4 linked regions of the Yarrowia lipolytica genome follow. The protein of the gene in region 1 purifies or fractionates together with the protein of each later gene. This does not show direct contact. Links are inferred from orthologs where the notes say so. Each region holds a gene or a part of one and is shown in the gene's direction. Other genes may lie near its edges.

Region 1 (4,345 bases):
ATCGTCAGCCAAGAGTTTAAAGCCCAAACTCAAGCGCAAAGGCAACATTGACCTTACTATTCAGACACAACTCCCCAGCACTCGTCCTTCACTAGCAGAAAGAAGTCCACTGAACAGACCTTCCAAGGAACTGGAACGAATTGCAAGCATCGGCAGCAACGTACCCATCACGCCAACCATGGCGTCTGGCAGAGGAGATTACAACCATCCCTTGACAGCCGGAGCTAAGGATGACTCTCCCAGTGCGAAAAACAAGGCCCACTCCATTCTGCTGAGAGCCAAGAAGGATGTGCATTCTGCGGCTGCCTTCATGTCTTCGTCTTCGTCCAACTCCAAGCTCATCAACGAACAGGGCGGTTCCTTATACTCGTTCCAGAGCTCCTCACCTGGTGCTTTACACAAGAGTTTTTCCAGTGCTCTGGAACTCAAGAATTTCAACCAGACCAAGGAGGATAAGGAACAGCTCGCTGACGACGCATGGGCGCTTCTGTGTTCTCGAGTGCTTCCCTTGTTTTCAGGTGAAGGCATCCGAGTCCCCATTGAAGATCTCAACAAGCTGGTGGTGATGCACACTAATCTGCGGATCCAGGAGCATGTCACAGCCAAGTCTTTGTTGCAAGAATTCAAGGACCTGCTGAGATCTGGCATGTATACGCTGGACTCTACTATGTCCCGTGTGCCAGATGACAAGCTTATTGCTCACCTGACGACAGTTTGGGGTCACTTCTTCTCAGACGTGCTCCCTTACTGGGAGGGTGTCTTTCTGCCTCTTCAGCAGGAGTTCGATGGTTACGGAAAGAGCATGAAGCCCGAAGAGAGCGAGAAGTTCTGGGGTATGTTGCTCATGGACCGTGATCAGCTGAACATTCGTCTCATGACTCTGTGTGCGTTCAGAGACTACATCATTCTCCCTCACTCTGAGCGGTTGACTCGAATCATTTCCAATTTCGAGCTATCTTCTCAGGGAGCCAACACTCCCGTTAGACTCTTACAGTGTTTCTCCATCTTGGCCTCCATTCTGAGTGCTGATGCGCAACAGCAAAAGATGGACGAGCTGGTGAAGGTGCTCAAGACAGGATGGTTTTCTCGTTCCAGGGCAGGCAAGGACAGACGAGGCATGATTATCAAGGCCTAGAAACGCGAGACCCGTTATTATCTGGCCAGTTATTTATTTATATTTATTTTACTACTCAATTGTATATTATCGTAGCTTCCGTATGTGCAGTTAGTTCAAGTACAGTACAGTATTTAGCTACTGCACGCGGTGGCCAGCCCTGCTAATAATCTGAAAGCACACTATCCTGTGATATACTGTACGCCACCAAATCGTTTGTCAAAAATGCAATAAATATATTCGTAGACCTATATATCGGTCCATCTGTTAGAGGCCAAAACTGGCCAGGTCGTCCATCTGCTTCTCAAGCTCCTTCTTGGTGACGAGCCGCTTCTCTCGTTCTTCCTCCTTCTGTTTCAGAAGGGCCTCGCTCTTTTCCTTCTTCAGTGTCTCCTTGGATTTAACAGAGTAGACATCCTTGAGAGCATCTGGATCGTTGACGAGATCCAGCAGAGCCGAGTCCTTGTGTTTCTGGCTCTTCTGTTTAGGCACCGGCTTTTTGGCTGTCTTTTTTACACCACCAGTCTTGTCACGTGTTGGTCTGGAAAATGGACCTGCTCTGGCCTTTGATTTTGTCACGTTAGTCTTTGCCATGGTTGTGTAATGTCTGTGGTTGTGTTGTATGGCAACGCCTCTCAAAATATTTCTCTTTAGGTGGTTCAACGTGCATAAACTTAATTTTGGTGTGTGCCACCTCTAAACTAATTTCCCAAGTAGCTATTGATTACCTAACTACTAATTCCAATCCGCCAAACTCTGATAGAAAAAAAATTGAGTTTTCATGCGACAAATTTATCTCGTCCAAGGTAGACAGTTTCACGACACACTACACAGCCGACAATGGTCTCTACTCATAACAAAGACAAGCCATGGGATCAGCCCCACATTGATAAGTGGGCCGAGGATGAGTTCACCGAGAAGGACAACGCTTCCGGTCTGCCCTTTGCCGAGGAGTCTTCCTTCGCCACACTGTTCCCCAAGTACCGAGAAGGCTACCTAAAGGAAATCTGGGATGATGTCACCAAAGCCCTCGACCAAAAGGGTATTGCATGTGTTCTGGATCTCGTTGAGGGTTCCATGACCGTCAAAACCACCCGAAAAACTTACGATCCTTACGCCATTATGAACGCTCGAGATCTCATCAAGCTGCTGGCCCGATCGGTGCCTTTCCCCCAGGCAGTCAAGATTCTCGAGGACGGCATTGCATGTGACGTTATCAAGATTGGTAACTTCACCAGCAACAAGGAGAGATTTGTCAAGCGACGACAGCGTCTTCTTGGACCCAACGGTAACACTCTCAAGGCCCTGGAACTGCTCACACAGTGCTATATCCTTGTTCAGGGTAACACCGTCTCTGTCATGGGTCCCTACACACATATGAAGACTCTGCGACGAGTGATTGAGGACTGTATGATGAACATCCACCCCATTTACCACATCAAGGAGCTCATGATCAAGCGAGAGCTGGCCAAGCGACCCGAGCTAGCCGAGGAGGACTGGAGCCGTTTCCTGCCCCAGTTCAAGAAGCGAAATGTTGCTCGAAAGAAGCCCAAGACCATCAAGAACAAGGTTCGAACCGCTTTCCCTCCTGCCCAGCTGCCCCGAAAGGTGGATTTGCAGATCGAGTCTGGAGAGTTCTTCTTGGGTGCCGATGAGAAGCGACGACGAGCCGACGAGGAGAAGCGACAACAGCAGGCTGCTCGAAGTGCAGAGAAGCAGGCCCAGAGAGAGCTGGCCTTCATTGCGCCAGACGAGGACGAAGAGAAGGCCAAGAAGGAAAAGAAGAAGGAGAAGAAGGAAAAGAAGGAAAAGAAGGAAAAGAAGGAGAAGAAGGAGAAGAAGGAGAAGAAGCGAAAGAGCGATGACAGCGACGATGAGGGAGAGAAAAAGAAGAAGAAGAAGAAGCGATCCGTGGAGTAGCTTGCTTGTTCAGTAAAATAGATTTGTAATGCATAACTTGGTTAAAATAAATTAACTAGCTAGGCTAGAGAGCTATTCTAAAGTGCACCAACCTCGACCATCATTAACCTGGTAGTTACACAGTCCAGGCTCAAGCCAGAGACTGACTAGACCAGCAAGAACAATACCGGCAGAATCACTCATACCAACACTACCAAGAGCAAACTCTCGCTCTGCCAAATCAGCCTGTTCGGTAATCAGCAGAAAGGTGTTGACATAGGCAGCTCCCCCAAGCAGCCCTTCGTAGAATATGAGAATGAACACCAGCCAGACGTTGGGTAATATCGGTGACATAGACTGTGCAATGCAAAACACGAGGTTGGCAAACTGGAGCACTGAGGGGATCATAATTCGTCTAATTCTCACAAATGGTGCACTCGAACGTGAGATAAATACTCCCAACTGGTATAGTGTTCCATAGGTCACATAGACATCTCTGAACTTAGAAAAGGGCAACTCTTCCATGGGAAACAGAAGTGTGGGTGCCACTCCCTGGTTGATGGTGTACTCGGAAAAGTAGACCAGAAACAAAGGCAGCATGTAAGGCATAACCAGCGGCTTCAAACGGACCATTGTAGTTTCGTATCCAGAAGCAACAAACTCCCAGGTGATTGGCTGTGTTTCAATACCTGTTTCAGGGTCATTGCTGTGCACAGGGAAGGCCCCTGGTACACGGTTATAATCTCTAGGAGGAAGGAGATAGAAGTAGACTCCTAAGAAGGCCAGGGGAAAGAATGCAAAGACAAGCAATGACGTCTTGACTGAAACTCCGAGTACCGTGGTCAAGAGCATGAACAGCCCGCTACCCACTAGCCCTGCACCTCCAGTTCCGCTGCTCCACCCATTGAGAGCCCTGGTATCGTAAAAATGGGTTAATTGGAGAAAGGTGACCTCGCCCAGACCGGAAGAGAAAGAAGCCAGCACCACTCCCACGAGTTTGAGAAACAGAGGAGATGCTAGTGACACAGACATCATTCCCACAGTTGACAGGCCAACCAGCAATGTTATTCGGCGGTTATAGGGGATTTTGTGGATAAAAAATGGTGCTGCCAGCTTTATCAAGAACGATGGGAGTACGTCGGCCAGTAACACCACGGCCTTGGGTGTTTGAGGTCCCACCAGGTCTACTGCGGCGGTCAAGATAACCACATAGAGCACGTTGTTGACCAACCCAAATGTCCAAAATGCGGCGTACACAAGATGAGCAGGTTCTAGTTGCATTATGGTTGCTGAAATGTTCAATTCCTTGACATGAGTGTGTCAGTGACTTTT
Region 2 (4,318 bases), on another chromosome or scaffold:
TCAAAGGGTTGAATTGGCCAGTTAGGTCTCGGTAGGTCTCATTGTAGAGGTTGTTGAAAATGTGCTGATCCAGCGAGATCTGGGGCTCCATGATGAGCGTATGCAGATCGAGCCACCAGAACCACTCGGCGTTGGGGAACTGGCGCATGGTCTCCTTGATGATGTCGACCTTCTGCCACGACTCTCTCCACTCGTGAGAGTATCTCTTCTTGAGACTCACGTCCTTGACGGCAAGATGGTAGCCGTGGCGCTCGGCGTATTCTCGCTTGTTTTCAATGCTGCTTCGCTCGATGGCCCACTCTTTGGCTCCCTTCCAGTGCATGACTCCTCCACCCTCGTTGGCAGCCAGGATAATCACGTACTTGCCCGAGCCCCAGTTGAAGTGCGGCACAAATGGCACGGCTGTGAAGAAGGACAGCAGGGTCAGCAGCAAAAAAATGACGACAAAGATTTTGCGCCGTATCAGGGCCGTAGCCAAACCCTCGATGAAGCCTCCCACCGTGGCGATGATCCCTCCTCGTTGCCGTCGCGACCACCCGCCCTCGGGCTTGTCCCACGCCGACACGGACGATTTGCGCCTCCAGTTCTGGCTCATTGTGTGTGTGTTTTTGTGTTTGTCGTGGTGAAGTGTATGTGTTGATGTTGTCTTTTTGGTGATGAGAGTTAATGTACAGTAGCTTGGTAGACATGCGTGTGGTGGACGTGCGTACTTTATTTCAGTTGGACCAGCATCGCTGTATTTGTAGCTAATGGACTTGGTGAACCTGGGACATGTCTTGGAAGAGCATACATACTACGTGGACGACGTAAGTCATTTCCGTGAGAATAATTACCGCTCTCTCTTGCTCCTCAATCTGGTACAGTATTACGTGTATATCTGGCGCCTTACATGTTCAACGTCACAGAATTTTTCGTCCCAAAAACCGTGTGCATACTACATACGTCATGGTGACGCTGAGATAATGAGATGATAGCGATGTAAGGACAGGTACGAGGAGCAGGACCATAGAAGATGAAGACTAGAACCGTACCAGTAGTATTGAGTGATCGCTGCACAATACCAACCCACATCTCCACCTCGTCCATCACTACAACCTATTGTTATTCACGACGATAAATATGCTCATGTGGACCAGTTACTTCTTTTCATCTTTAAGCTCCACTGACGGCTTCAAAGTGGGTACACGGCTGGTGGGCATGCTTAACGAGTACTTGTAGCTACAGTAGAGAAGAGGTTGTAGACAAGGCAATGGTACGATGCACGTGAGCTTTCACATCGAACCAGGCTTGACTGTAACCACCTCACAACTGCTTAGTCACATCCACTCACACGTGCCACCCCTACTTTTCTTTGTGCGCTTGTGCATCCTCTTGTCCATCTTCAGGGGCAACCTTTTTCACTACGAGTACATACTGTAGTTACAAGCACTGCTCCGAGGCAAGGATCGTCCTGAGTATGTGCGAGCTGATGACTGGGTGAGGTTATGAGTGGAGAGATGTTGATTATATAATAAAGAATGATGATCTGGGTACAGTGTACTGTGCAATTTGGTAAGATAGGAGTATGTACAATTGTACAATACTGTAGTTACAGATACACTGTGGTGGTGACGTAAGATACAACATTCGCCTGCACAATGGAACATATAGAAAGACTCTTATACTACGATACAAGGGGCTCCATGGTGAACGACCAAACACAATGTCTATTACTTATGCACAGAATAGCGTCTGGAATGGAACGTTGAAAGTGGGTTGGTTAACGAGAGTACACTGTGTTACTGTACTTGTTGTACTAAGAGCCACACACTGTGAGACAGATGGAGATGGCCAATTTTGTGATTAAAAAGCAAGATATAGAAAAAGAAGGGATATATTGGGCTAAACAAGCGGAGTGGTGGCGTGATATAGCTTCTGTGGCAAAAAGTCATGCAGTAGAGTGAGTGACTAGTTTACTGTAGGCTACAGTACTTTCAACCCAGGAAGCTACTTAGCCACATTGAGTACATTGCACAAGTACATTACGTAATTGTAATTACGTAATTTACAGTAGAGGGCACAGGAAGTGTAACAGGTTCGGGCACACAACAAATCGCGCGCATCTCTTGATAAGGACATTTGCGGGGTACTGTAATAACAAAACACTTCAAACAGAAGGATATAAAAACCACATGATAATTTTTTGAACACCCACAGACATAGTTTTCGCCCGTTTACTGAGAACATGTTTCTCCCTCTACTTCTTGTACTCCATCTCATCTCATGCACCCAAAGCTTATTGGGAAAAATTATGTGGTGTGCATTATCAGGCTGAAATTATTCCATTACCAGCTGTACACATCCTACAACGACTTTTACAATGGGATCCAAAGACAAGAGCAGCAAGAAGCAGGCCAAGGTGGTTGACGAGGTGACTGACGAGGTGACTGACGAGGTGAAGGCCGAAGAAACGGTCGATATCAAGACAAAAACTGACGAGACCAAGTCTGAGAAGAAGGATAAGAAGGACAAGAAGGCCGATGAGAGCAAGACTGAAGAGAACAAGACTGAAGGTAAAGCGGCTGACAAGACTGAGTCTGAAATTGACATATCGAAATTATCCAAGAAGGAGCGAAAGGCTTTGGAGTTCAAGAAGACCAAAAAGAAGATCGAGAAGGGAGAGTTAACGGTGGAGGCTCTTAAGGAGGAGAAGAAGGAGAAAAAGGAGGCCAAGAAGGCCGAGGAGGAGGAGAAGAAGGGTTCCAAGAAGCGAAAGCGGGATGGCGAGAACGGCCCTGCTGCCAAGGCGGCTCGATTTATTCTTTTCTGTGGTAACTTGCCTTATGATATCAAGGAGGAGGTGATTGCTGATCATTTTAAGACCTGCACTCCTAACAAGATTCGAATTCGAGATGCCAAGGGGTTTGCATTCCTCGAGTTTGAGGGCGACGACGCCTCCAGACGGATGAACGTTGCTCTCCGAATGCATCACTCTACTCTTATGAGACGAAAGATCAACGTGGAGTTGACTGCAGGAGGAGGAGGCAACTCATCCAACCGACGAAACAAGATCCAAGAGAAGCGACAGAAGCTGGACGACGAGCGGTCGGAGCGAATTGCTAACGAGGAGAAGGCCAAGGCTGAAGCCCAGGCCAAGGCTCGAAAGGACGAGAAGAAACAGAATCTGGCTTCGGCCCACAAGAAGGCCCACAAGGAGTTTGCTCCCCAGACCAAGAAGCCCAAGACCAGCACTCCCGGTGTCCATCCTTCTCGACAGGGTCTGATTCGGTAGAATAGAGGAATAGGCATATAGATAATGGACATAATGGAATGGTGGGAATAGGTAGTGATTAGTACAAGTACCGGTAGTTCTACGTACTGCTGCTGGGTACTACTAATAAGTCTCAAGTAAAATCGGTAATTATCGTACAGTATCGTACCAGTACTTGTATATACTGGTACGATACTCGTACCGTAGCAAAGCGATAGCCTGTTTCCATACGAATGCCTAAAAGTACGGTACTCGTACTCGTACTTGCCCGACACCGTATTGAAGTCTTACAGTAAGCTTCATCGACTACTCAGGTGTGCTCATACTTGTAGAAGAGGGTTCAAAACATACACAAAGAATGACTGAATTGAAAGCAGTTTGGCGGGATAAAGCACAAGTTACCAAATGAAGATAAAAAAAATAGATATCAGACCCATAATCACCTTGTTCGGCGGTTAATTCAAAGGCTTTGACTTGTGGCTAGAGTTTGAGACTGTGGAACTGTACGTTAACTGGAACGACCTACAAGTACCAGTAATGCGTGGAAGGGTTAAGGGAGAATGAGTAAGGGTAACAGCACTCGCCCTTGTAGCAACTACGATGCTGCTCGTGATACCGAAGGACTTGTACGAGTAACGGCAGATACTATGGACAAAATGAATACCTACGGACATGACGTTATAGACAGCTATTCATGACACCCGTCAACATCAACATATCATTCATTCCTCATGAAAGTCCGAGAAAACATCCCGTCTACATTCTCCTCTGGTCCATGAAACAGTGACAATCTCTTGGGTGATGTTTAAACCGCCTGGTGACTTCGGCTACACGTCTCGAAACGGCTGCGGGCAGTGCTCCAAGGTTGACTGGGGTGCGTGGAACTACGATAGACTCTCGGATATACACTGCTAGTATACTCACGCAGTTTATTTAGAGCGTACTGGTATTGGGCTGGATGAGTTTACAGGACAATCTTGGTCTGCTGGTGAAATGTAGGAGCGACATATATGGAACTAAGTCTATGAAAGTGATAGCACTTACCACACTGTATGTTTCGTGTAACCT
Region 3 (4,885 bases), on another chromosome or scaffold:
GCACCAGTGTTTTAGTATGGTGCTTGTGCTAGTTCCTGGAAGTCCAGGCTCTGTGGCGGTTGTGCTAAAACAACAAGACGGGTGGTTTTAGGCCGCAGAAGGCCGTTTTTTTATTGCTCCTTGGTTTGTGAAAACACTGCTGCCTGTAGTTATTTGCCAACCTTTCTTTTTCTGGATCACCCCACCTCGACCAGCAAGATGAGGTAGAGTAACTAACGAGAAGATCGCCTCTCTCGAGGAGCGCCATACAGGTATACATTATTACCCTGCCAAAAGACAAAAGATTAACCCAACTTAATCTCTCGGAAAGGATCTGGGATACCACCCACAGAGTTAGGCCTCAGCATAACATCTGCAGTTGGAGATAGCGGAGAGTCGCAAGTCGCCCAAGGCAATTTGCCTTGTGCTTTTGCCCAAACAAGAACAAGGCGCACTCTACATGATATTAGAAAATGCTGGAATGTCCAGAGGATGGTTTTATGGCTTAGAAGGGGAACGCCACGGCCATCGTAGTCCGACTTTTAGGCTTCCTTTAAATCGGTTAATCTTACCTACACAAGGAGCTTTCCACAGACCAAAACCATTTTGACACTGCACCAGCTTGTTATGGGTATGGTAGACACAAATCACCGACAAAAGAGCTCCCCACTAGCATAGTGCTATCATCCCCGGTCCTTGTCCTGCTAGCTCGCACAAGCACACCTCTAAAGAGTGCTAATTTGTTTGACAGCTCCAAGACGGTACAATAGGCAACATAGAGCCCATCTGACAGCCCAGTATGAAACACGAACGTTGACCAGAGAACAACGGTAGCGTGCAGAAGTTTGCTTGAAAACACGAGATTTGCCGCCACGTGCAAATTCCGGAGTGTCTGTCAGATGGTGTCCACATAACCGCGCTGTGGCCCCTAATTTCCAGAATCAATGTAGCATCTTGAGGAGGATAAGTTACACAACGAAGATCAGAGGCTGCTCCACTAGGTCGGCGGTCTCAAGTTAGTTTGTGTCTATTTTTAGTTGGTCAGACTTGATAATAGTCTCTCAGTCTGTGAGCTCAAAATAGGAGCCTCATAGTCTGGACTGGCACACAATAATTTCTTAGTCTCCGACCGCCTGCCAGCCCAGTGACAATAACTCTGTACAATGACAAGGGTTGAAGAGGAGTACAAGTACTTGTATAACTAGTTGTACTGTACAGCCGCTCCTCGTCCTCGAACATACGCTTCAAATCAACTCAACTGGCCGCAAGGGGTCGAACAGGGTTACCTTCTAAGTTGACATTCGATCGCAGACTTGTTACAGCTGTTGCAGTTATATTTCCCTGTGGCAGTAGAGAGAGGCCTTTACAGTGTTCGTGACAATTCTACTAATGAAAACCGATAGACAAGCTATCCAACGCTCTATCATAAGAGCTCTGCTATCTTATATGACTCATTAGGGTCTATCAGCCCCGTATAGAGGAATAATATATGAAAAATGAGCCAAGAAGGTGCTGGTGCGCGCCCCCACAATCCCAAAGTTGACGACTATCGCATCCCACTCCGTATAGCATCAATTGGAATGTTGTACATTTAATATTTTCATTTGTCGAGCCCGTAAAATGTTCGGATCCAATTCTGTAACCGTTATATTAGCTTATCTTGTAGCCTTTAGCCCACCCGAGTAGAAGGGTTTAAAACGAAGTGTCCACCAGGGGTTTTCAAGGACGATATCGGCTATTGGTGCCGTTAGATACCGCGGGGGTCTGTAGCCTCGGTTAGAGGAAAAGTGGCGTGATCTCGTTGGCGCAGGTCTAGAAGAATGTGATTCTTACTGTAGCTGTAGGCCAGCTATTGGTTACGTTACTGTAATTCACTTGAAGGCTTGTTGAGAGAAGTAACTACAAGTAAAAGTGAAGTCCTTTGCAGATAACTGCAGGGAGGTTTGTTAGTTGCAATCGCGTATACTTGGAAAATATCACATGCAGATAAGAAACGCTCACATAATACAATGCAGAATTTGCCGAAACTAAACACTTTTGATAACTACGTACTCTCTTAATAAATCCGCCTAATACTCGCCACCGTAGTCCCCAACACTTACTCAGCGAGGATAGGCCGTTTTAAGTTTCACCTCCCAACCTTATACAAAAAAATCTCGAGAGTGCATGAGCATCGTTTTCAGGTGAAAATACATTACCACTCACCACATACACCATGGATATCTTCAAAGTACTATCTCGAGGAGCCACGATCCAGCGAAACGGTAAACACAGGAAGGACCTGACTCTGCTCAACCACGCTGCTCCCAAAGACACCCAGGACAATGTCGACATTGAAGTTGCCCGAGAAACCGACTTTTTCAAGACCAAGACAGACACTTACTCCAAGAAGCGAGTAGCTGAGGAGGCTGAGCTGGACAATGAAGAGGAGGAAGAGGCTCCCCCGCCCATTATCAGTACTCCCGAGGAGGCTGTGGTTTTCCGAAACAAGCACAAGATCAACATCACCGGAGAAGACTCCCCTCTGCCCATTGGGTCGTTTGAAGACCTCATCACTCGATTCAACTTGCATCCCTATCTTCTGGCCAACCTCAAGAAGAACAAGTACACAGACCCTACCCCGATCCAGTGCGAGAGTATCCCTACAATGCTGAACGGCCGAGATCTGATTGCCTGTGCTCCAACTGGTTCCGGTAAGACTATGGCCTACAGCATCCCCATGGTGGAGATGCTGGGTAAGAAGAAGGGCTCCAAGGACGCTAAGAAGGGAATCAAGGCACTGGTGGTTGCCCCCACCAAGGAGCTGGCGTCTCAGATCTTCAACGCTGTGTTCTCGCTCTGCGTGGGTGTTGGAAAAAAGAAGGACGAGCTGAAACCCTGCTTGCTGGACAAGAGCACGGCCGACAAGCTGCGAAACGGAAAAGTCAGCTCCCAGAAATACGACATTTGCATTACCACCCCCCTGAGACTGGTCTCCGCCCTCAACGACGGCAGCCTGGACCTTGGATCCCTGGATCTGGTCATCTTCGATGAGGCCGACAAGCTGTTTGAGAAGGGCTTTGCCACCCAGGTCGATGACATTCTGGCAGCATGCCCCTCGGGTATTCAGAAGACTCTGTTCTCCGCAACCATTCCTGCCTCTGTCGAGCAGCTGGCAAACAGTATCATGAGCACCGACCCTCTACGTATCATTATCGGTAACAAGCAGGCTGCTGCCCAGACCGTTGAGCAGAAGCTGGTGTATGCTGGAAACGAGGAAGGTAAGCTTGTGGCTATCCGACAAATGGCCCGAGAGGGTCAGCTTGTGGCCCCTGTCATCATCTTCCTGCAGTCCATCGACCGAGCCAAGGCACTGTTCAAGGAGCTGGTTTTCGACGGAATCAACGTCGACCAGATCCATGGAGACATGACTGCGGCCAAGCGAGCTTCCGTCATCGACCGTTTCCGAAACGGAGAAGTCTGGGTGCTAATCTGTACCGACGTTCTGGCCCGAGGTATCGATTTCCGAGGCATCAACCTGGTCATCAACTACGATGTACCCCAGTCTGCACAGTCTTACGTGCATCGAATCGGACGAACCGGTCGAGCTGGCCGACTCGGCAAGGCCGTCACCTTCTTCACCAAGGAGGACGCTACCAATGTCAAGGTGGTAGTCAATGTCATGAAGCAGTCTGGACAGGAGGTACCCGACTGGCTCAACAACCTCGCTCCCCTGACTCAGAAGGAGCGAGACAACATCAAAAACAGACCCATCAAACGAAAGAAGATCTCTACTCAACATGCTCTGGCTAACAACAAGAAGAAGCGGGCCAAACAGCAGATGAAGGGTCTCAAGAAGATGAAGAAGGACGACGAATAAGTTATTGTGGACCGCCTAGGCCATGCTATAGACTAATGTACATCAGATAAATGGAGCGAGCTGTCGTAGAGATGTATTAAAGCTGACGTGCGATCTGTGTCTGTACGCCCTTCACTTTCCATACGATGCAAGCCATACACACAGGCAGATAATTAGCTGTTACAAGTATATAGGTCAGATACTGGAAAAACGACACCGTTAAAACCACTCAGGAACAATTCAATAGAAACGCAAAGCGTCAGTTTTAAATTACATGTTAATCGGATTTCTAATGTCCAATTTAGTGCTTGTCAGCAGAGGGGACCTTGTAGCCAATGACGTTTCGTCGGCCGATAACCTCACCGAGGGTGAAGAGACCGAGGATCTGGACACCGTAGGCAGTGTATCGGAGAGCGTCAGTCTTGGTGATGGACTCAGCACAGTCAATGACCTTCTGGGGCTTGAGGGCGTAAGACTTGACGGAGTTGAACAGGTTCTGGTAGACAGACTGGAACTGAGAAAGAGAGGGGGGAGCAAAGCCCTCCTTGAGGTAGATCTGCTTTCCGAGCTCACCGGTGACCTTGGCCCAGTAGACGGCACAGTTGGTGATGCCTGAGTTAGTATAATGTTGGGGGTTGACTGCCTTGGAGTAGTGGCATGATTCGAGGAGTAGAACAGATACAGATTCCCGGAGTGGATAGGGTGTTGATCGGAGTACTGAACGAGATTGATTCCAATGAGGTGGGCCGCTGATGACACTGGAACTGCTAACGATGTCGCACTAGTGTACTCGTCTCTATCACGTGTCTAGTGTCGTCGTTCACAACTTCCGACACGTCAAGCTGATGAAACACCATCTGGTAGCACCGGTAAACACCACAATCACATCCAATCAAAACAGGACACTCTCGTGCCACACTCTCCTTGCACTTGTCCATCCCCGACCCCCATATACGCAGCTGTGTTGCTTGTTATCGCCGGAAAATCGAAAAGTCTCCTAGCTCGAGAAATACTCACCCTGGACCTTGGCTCCGAGACCCTGGGCCTTGGAGGCAGCCTTGGAGGCAG
Region 4 (6,031 bases), on another chromosome or scaffold:
AAAAGCCGGAATGTACTCCTTTTACTTAAGAAGCTCAACTATACTGTTATCCCTAGTTGAATACCTAACTAAAGTATGAACTGGCAAACCCTTTGAATACTGCGTCTTGGAGAGAGTCCCGATTCGAACGCCGAGACATGCGAAATGGAGCTGAAACCGCTGCGAACCCATGCCTAACTCCCCTCGTCCCATTTAACCGGTCCAATCCCAAGCTGGACCCACCTCCATTCAACCTCCCCCCACCCCCCTCTCCACTCTGTAAATAACTCATCTCCCTCCAAACACCAAAAGACGCGTGGCTACAAAAGTAAATCCCCCCGTCCCGCTCATTTCAGCCCTTTCCGCACATCTCTAATACCGTGTTAATCGCCCCAGGGTTTATTTCGCTCCAATGGTAAATGGCGCAATCGAACCGGACCGCCGCAACCACAACCAAACATGGCGACTCCAAACCACATAAATGACTCCCTATCGGCGGGAAAACCATACAATTCTGTCCTTTGAACCGAAGTGAGACAAGTCCGCTTTTCAAAATCAACCTAGCCCCTCTCCTCGCCCCTCAGGCGGCTTATCTCCGATAACTCCGAGCACACATGCACCCTGCAACAGTCACTCCAGCAACTCTAGCAACTCCAGCAACAGCAACTCCAGCACTCAGCTGGCGGTCGCAACAACCATCTGAGACCCCCAAGATTGCTCACACGCCAACCGTCCCCGGATCAACCCCTTTAAACCCACTCCAAACGCGTCGCTCATAATTGCTCCCCCAAACCCTCTACTTTTCAGTACAAAAACGGAAATACAGATACAGCAGAAAATGCACGCCAAATGAGAGCTTGAGGCAATCAAGAATGGGAAAATATCTCGCTTCCCCCGACGGTCACGTGACGTTCCCGGATCGTTGAGCCTCAACTTTGTCAATATTACTTTGATTGGAATTTCGACGCCGGAAATCGTCTAGTCAGCTCGAGACAAACCCAACGACACCCCGAACGGCCACATTATCTCCTCCGGGTCCGAACATGTCGCGCGGAATCTTGGGCGTCGCAGTTCTCCTGCACGTATACGGCAATCTGTAAACCTTATTTCCAACATGAGCCGAGGTACAACAACAGCAACAGTGGATATTGTGGTCTCAATGTTGCTCGAAATCACTAGATATCAAAGCTGGAAGTTTCTGGAACAATAATTAGTCTCCAGGATAAATTTCACGTTATCAGCTTTCGAACTAAAAAAGTTAGACCATCGTCTAAACTTAGCAGTGATGGAAGTCTACAATACCGATTTTGGGGACCTGATAGTGGTCGGAGAAAGATAAAAATGCCACCATTGAACTCTCCGCAAGCCAGGGAGTATTTTGATATAATTATATAAGCCATAAAGCCACTGGATCAAAAACTACCAGACTCCTAATTCCACACAACCATCCCAGACTAATGTCGCTAGTGGGGACCCTGAACGTGATTGCAAAAGGGCGTGGCGGAGAAGAGATGAATCACGGGACTTGAACAAGGAGTCGAGAGCTTTTTTCTCTGCGAGTCTGATGGTTCTTTTAGAATTCCTATGCGTCCATTATTCGTCGAGTTGGTCTTGACCGGTTCACTATTGGATGGGGCTAGAGTACTGATCCAGCAAGATCCATCTATATCCACGAATAGTGCTCCGATTGGACTCGGAAGAGGGTCATTATGTTTCTATGGTTGGCGGGATCAATACTACGATTGTTTCCGTTGATGTCATTGGCTATTTGTACTGTGTTTATGCGATCATTGGTTAGTGGTCCTACAGAGTCCATTCACAGTGGCCAGTGCGATCCAAACATGTTCACAATCACCACAAATGTAATTCAAACGTATCATGTCGTTGAGAATCATCCGGAGACCACAAAATGAGGTACATCTTTCCCATTTCTCTTTTCTACCAACCACAACGAGTGACTTCAATTCACGCTCATTTATTTCGATTTATTTAAATAAGATTTTTCACTGAAAAATATTGCCACTCTGACTCTTCCGGCCCAACATTGCAACGACAACTCCCACAGAAAATCCAAACATATCATTTTGTTCGTCTCGACGAGAGTAACGCAATGATACCCTTCAACTCTCTCCGACGTGCTCCCCCCTCAGGCACAGATTATGACCTCTTCCGCCCTCCCCCAAACCTTGTTTAAAAAAAATCGAAATCGTGCATATTTTTTCTACTCACACAACTCCACCCAGACAACAGAACCACCTAGACACATTTCCCGTACTACACAGACATGAAGGCGGACTACAAATTTTCGAATCTGTTGGGGACCGTGTATCGGCAGGGAAACCTGGTGTTTACGCCTGACGGCACGGCGCTGCTTTCGCCGGTGGGCAACCGGGTGTCGTATTTCGATCTGGTGAAGAACACCTCCTTCACGTTCCCGTACGAGCACCGGCGCAACATCACGTGCATTGCTCTGAATGCGCAGGGCTCGCTGATGCTGACAGTGTCGGACGACGGCAAGGCGATTCTGGTCAACTTCAAGCGACGGACGGTGATCCATCATTTCAATTTCCGCGACGTGGTGTCGGACGTTCAATTTTCGCCGGACTCGCAGTACTTTGCCATCAACATTGGTGCGCGGCTGGAGGTGTGGGCGATCCCCAGCGACACAAACAGCCGCTCGTTTGCGCCGTTTGTGCGCCACAAGCGCTACGAGGGCCATTTTGCCGAGATCACGTCGATTACGTGGTCCGACGACTCGCGGTTCTTTCTGACCACGTCCAAGGACTTGACGTGCCGCGTGTGGTCGCTGATGGATAAGGACTCGGGCGCCGCAGCAACGCTGGGCGGTCATCGAGACACCATCACCAACGCCTTCTTTTCGCAGGACCAGGAGACCATCTACACGGTATCCAAGGACGGCGCCTGTTTCGAGTGGGCGTATGACGATAACGACGACGGTGACGACGGCTTTGTGGGGTGGAAAATCAAAGACCGGCACTACTTCCACCAGCAGTCGGTGCTCAAGTGCTCGGCGTTCCACGCCAAATCGAACATTCTGGTGGTGGGGTTTGCCAACGGCACCTTTGCCATGTACGAGCTGCCGTCCATGACGCAGATCCAGACCATGTCCGTGTCTCAGCACGGCATTGACTTTGTTACCATCAACTCCACGGGAGAGTGGATGGCGCTGGGCGCGAGCAAGCTGGGCCAGCTGCTGGTGTGGGAGTGGCAATCCGAGTCGTACATTCTCAAGCAGCAGGGCCACTTTGACTCTATGAACTCCCTCGTGTACTCTCCGGACGGCAGCAAGGTGGTAACCGCGTCGGAGGACGGCAAAATCAAGCTGTGGGACACCTCGTCGGGGTTCTGCCTGGTCACGTTCACCGAGCACTCGGCAGCGGTCACCGCCCTGGAGTTCTCCCGCAAGGGCAACGTGTTGTTTTCGGCGTCCTTGGACGGCTCCGTGCGCGCCTGGGATCTCATTCGGTACCGCAACTTCCGCACCTTTGCTGCCCCCGAGCGAGTCCAGTTTTCGTCCCTGGCCGTGGACCCCTCCGGCGAGGTGGTGTGCGCTGGCTCGCTGGACAACTTTGACATCTACGTGTGGAGTGTGCAGACAAGCCAATTGCTGGACACGCTGGCCGGACACGAGGGTCCCGTCTCGTGTCTGTCTTTTGGCGCCGAAATCGCCAACGCGTCAATTCTGGCCTCCGCGTCGTGGGACCACACGGTGCGGGTGTGGAACATTTTTGCGCGTACGCAGACGGTGGAGCCGTTCCAGCTCACGTCGGACGTGCTCCAGGTGGTGATGCGGCCCGACTCCAAGCAGCTGTCGGTGTCCACACTCAACGGCGAAATCTCCGTGTGGGACATTGAGGAGGGCAAGCAGGTGGGTAGCATTGATGGAGCCAAGGACATTAGCGGTGGGCGGCACTCGTCGGACCGGTTCTCTGCCAAAAACTCGGCGCGCTCCAAGTACTTTACCTGCATGACCTACTCCGCCGACGGCAAGTGTCTGATTGCCGGCGGCAACTCGCGGTTCATTTGCCTGTACGACGTGCAGTCGGGCGTCTTGCTCAAGCGGTTCGAGGTGTCGCGAAATATGTCTCTGGAGGGCACTCTAGACTACCTCAACTCAAAGAACATGACCGAGGCCGGCGCTCTGAATCTGATCAACGACCCAGACGGGTCCGACTGGGAGGACCGCGTGGACGACACTCTTCCGGGCGTGGTTCGCGGCGACAAGTCCAAACGACGCACCCGGCCCGAGATTCGTACCACCGGCATCAAGTTCTCGCCCACCGGTCGCCAGTTTGCTGCAGCCTCCACCGAGGGTCTGCTCATGTACTCCATCGACGACGAGCTCATGTTCGATCCCTTTGATCTGGACGTGGACGTGACTCCCCAGACCACGATGGAGGCGCTGGAAAACAAGGAGTATCTGATTGCGCTGGTCATGGCCCATCGACTGAACGTTCCGCGGCTCATTCAGCGTGTCTACGAGTCCATTCCCGTCGACACCATTGAGCGGGTCGCGCGGGGACTTCCGGTCGTCTATCTCGAAAGGTTTCTGCGATTCCTGGCCTCTGCAACTGAGGCTACTCCCCATGCCGAGTTCCATCTGCGGTGGATCAAGGCCGTGATTACCGCGCATGGGCGGCACATGGCCCAGCGCAAGCACGAGTACGCCCAGGTGTTGCGGGCGGTGCAGAAGTTTGTCACCCGGGTCAACAAGGAGGTTGCTCGACTGGCGGGCACCAACGGGTATTCTGCCGAGTTTTTGCTCGGGTCGAAGCCGTCTGTTCCGGTCGACGAGTCCAGAATGATTACTGGAGAGCCCGACGAGGTTCTGGTTCCCATCGAGACCGAAATGGAGGTTGAAGACGAGGATGATGACGATGATGATGACGAGGAGGGCTGGTTTGGCCCAGAGTCCAAGAATGATGCTTTTGCTCAGATGGATGTTGATGAGGATGATGATGATGAGGAGGAGGAGGATGAGTAAGCAGGACGGGTGAGAACCACGGCGCCTAGGCCTGGAGCTGGAGGGCTCTGACTTACGTTGGTTCGGCTCGGAGATATCGCACCAGGTCATCCAAAAGTGCGGGTCAGGCTCTGCAAGTCGACTAATGTGCCCATCAGAATGCCGTTTTGGCATCGGCTCTGGCGTCACTCTAGCACAACGTCTGCCGACTGAAGTTGCACAAAAATATTAATAGATTGTTTTATTGACCTCATAAGTAGATTGTACTGTACCGGCACAGTACCTCAGCTGTAGTTTGTACTTGTAGCGTTTTTTCAGAATTTTTTATTTATTTATTTATTTATTTTTTATTTTTTACCTTTTTTTTATTCAAGATAAATAATTCAGATATCCATATCCAAGTATTCCTCCTAAATGGCCCGAAAGCACACAGACAGACTGATATTGAGACACAGACAGACCTAGACAGACACGGACAGACACAGAAAGACGCAGAGAGAGATGGAGACACTGTACAACTAACACAGCATCCAGAGGCAACTTCTTAAGCATAGTCATTACCCACACCGATGCACCCACGATAATCGTATTGGAACACCATCTAGAAGATCTCAAGGGTACTTGGTGGAACCACAGTCTTGTCACCACCACCACAAGTGCTTTCCTCATTACATCTTCGACTGAGTGTACTCTGCACTTCGGAAACCCTCTCCACAATACCGTCCGTTCCTCTCTCACTCCCTATCCTACAACGACTGTACCACTCCCCTTTACCCGTGAGCAAGGAGACGTTGTCGCTCTTCAGAATCGATACTCCACCTGATGAAAGCTGCGGTACAACTGTCTGTGGTCGACAAGGCCCTCGAGCAGCATTAACCGACTCTCCCAGTCTGTCCTCAAGTACAAAGATCTGCCGTTCAGGATGGACCCACTTCCAGCTCGCCAGCTGACCACCGTTGGCAAGCGAGCCACACTGGATCCAGGAGCTCTTGCGAAACCCGCAGTTAGCCCGAGATGTCAAGGGGCTCACACAACCACTCTCATATTCTAGTCGTGGGACAGATTTGT

Evidence for each region. Proteins that work in one complex are often made in the same cells at the same time.
Region 2: the proteins of YALI1_F37963g (region 1) and YALI1_E30707g purify together in Saccharomyces cerevisiae (affinity purification with mass spectrometry; 4 studies listed by BioGRID). This does not show direct contact. The link is inferred for Yarrowia lipolytica from reciprocal best matches to the Saccharomyces cerevisiae genes KRR1 and NOP6.
Region 3: the proteins of YALI1_F37963g (region 1) and YALI1_B28053g purify together in Saccharomyces cerevisiae (affinity purification with mass spectrometry, with the first as the bait; 4 studies listed by BioGRID). This does not show direct contact. The link is inferred for Yarrowia lipolytica from reciprocal best matches to the Saccharomyces cerevisiae genes KRR1 and ROK1.
Region 4: the proteins of YALI1_F37963g (region 1) and YALI1_B01839g purify together in Saccharomyces cerevisiae (affinity purification with mass spectrometry; 6 studies listed by BioGRID, with this or other methods). This does not show direct contact. The link is inferred for Yarrowia lipolytica from reciprocal best matches to the Saccharomyces cerevisiae genes KRR1 and PWP2.

Annotation. Positions count from the first base shown.
Region 1 is NC_090775.1:3,794,396-3,798,740, forward strand, and holds YALI1_F37963g (90S preribosome/SSU processome component KRR1), read left to right. Parts: upstream 1-1,954; coding exon 1,955-3,034; downstream 3,035-4,345. Other genes in the region: YALI1_F37929g (uncharacterized protein), read left to right, coding at 1-1,135; YALI1_F37986g (uncharacterized protein), read right to left, coding at 3,107-4,294. UniProt on the Saccharomyces cerevisiae protein: Required for 40S ribosome biogenesis. Involved in nucleolar processing of pre-18S ribosomal RNA and ribosome assembly. Essential for vegetative growth.
Region 2 is NC_090774.1:3,068,807-3,073,124, reverse strand, and holds YALI1_E30707g (uncharacterized protein), read left to right. Parts: upstream 1-2,359; coding exon 2,360-3,271; downstream 3,272-4,318. Other genes in the region: YALI1_E30725g (uncharacterized protein), read right to left, coding at 1-595. UniProt on the Saccharomyces cerevisiae protein: Predicted to be involved in rRNA processing.
Region 3 is NC_090771.1:2,802,599-2,807,483, reverse strand, and holds YALI1_B28053g (uncharacterized protein), read left to right. Parts: upstream 1-2,194; coding exon 2,195-3,838; downstream 3,839-4,885. Other genes in the region: YALI1_B28025g (uncharacterized protein), read right to left, coding at 4,119-4,429, 4,835-4,885. UniProt on the Saccharomyces cerevisiae protein: ATP-dependent RNA helicase involved in 40S ribosomal subunit biogenesis. Required for the processing and cleavage of 35S pre-rRNA at sites A0, A1, and A2, leading to mature 18S rRNA.
Region 4 is NC_090771.1:181,689-187,719, forward strand, and holds YALI1_B01839g (uncharacterized protein), read left to right. Parts: upstream 1-2,263; coding exon 2,264-4,984; downstream 4,985-6,031. Other genes in the region: YALI1_B01822g (uncharacterized protein), read right to left, coding at 332-546, 592-595; YALI1_B01826g (uncharacterized protein), read right to left, coding at 655-926, 978-1,095; YALI1_B01878g (uncharacterized protein), read right to left, coding at 5,565-6,031. UniProt on the Saccharomyces cerevisiae protein: Required for bud-site selection and cell separation. Also involved in nucleolar processing of pre-18S ribosomal RNA.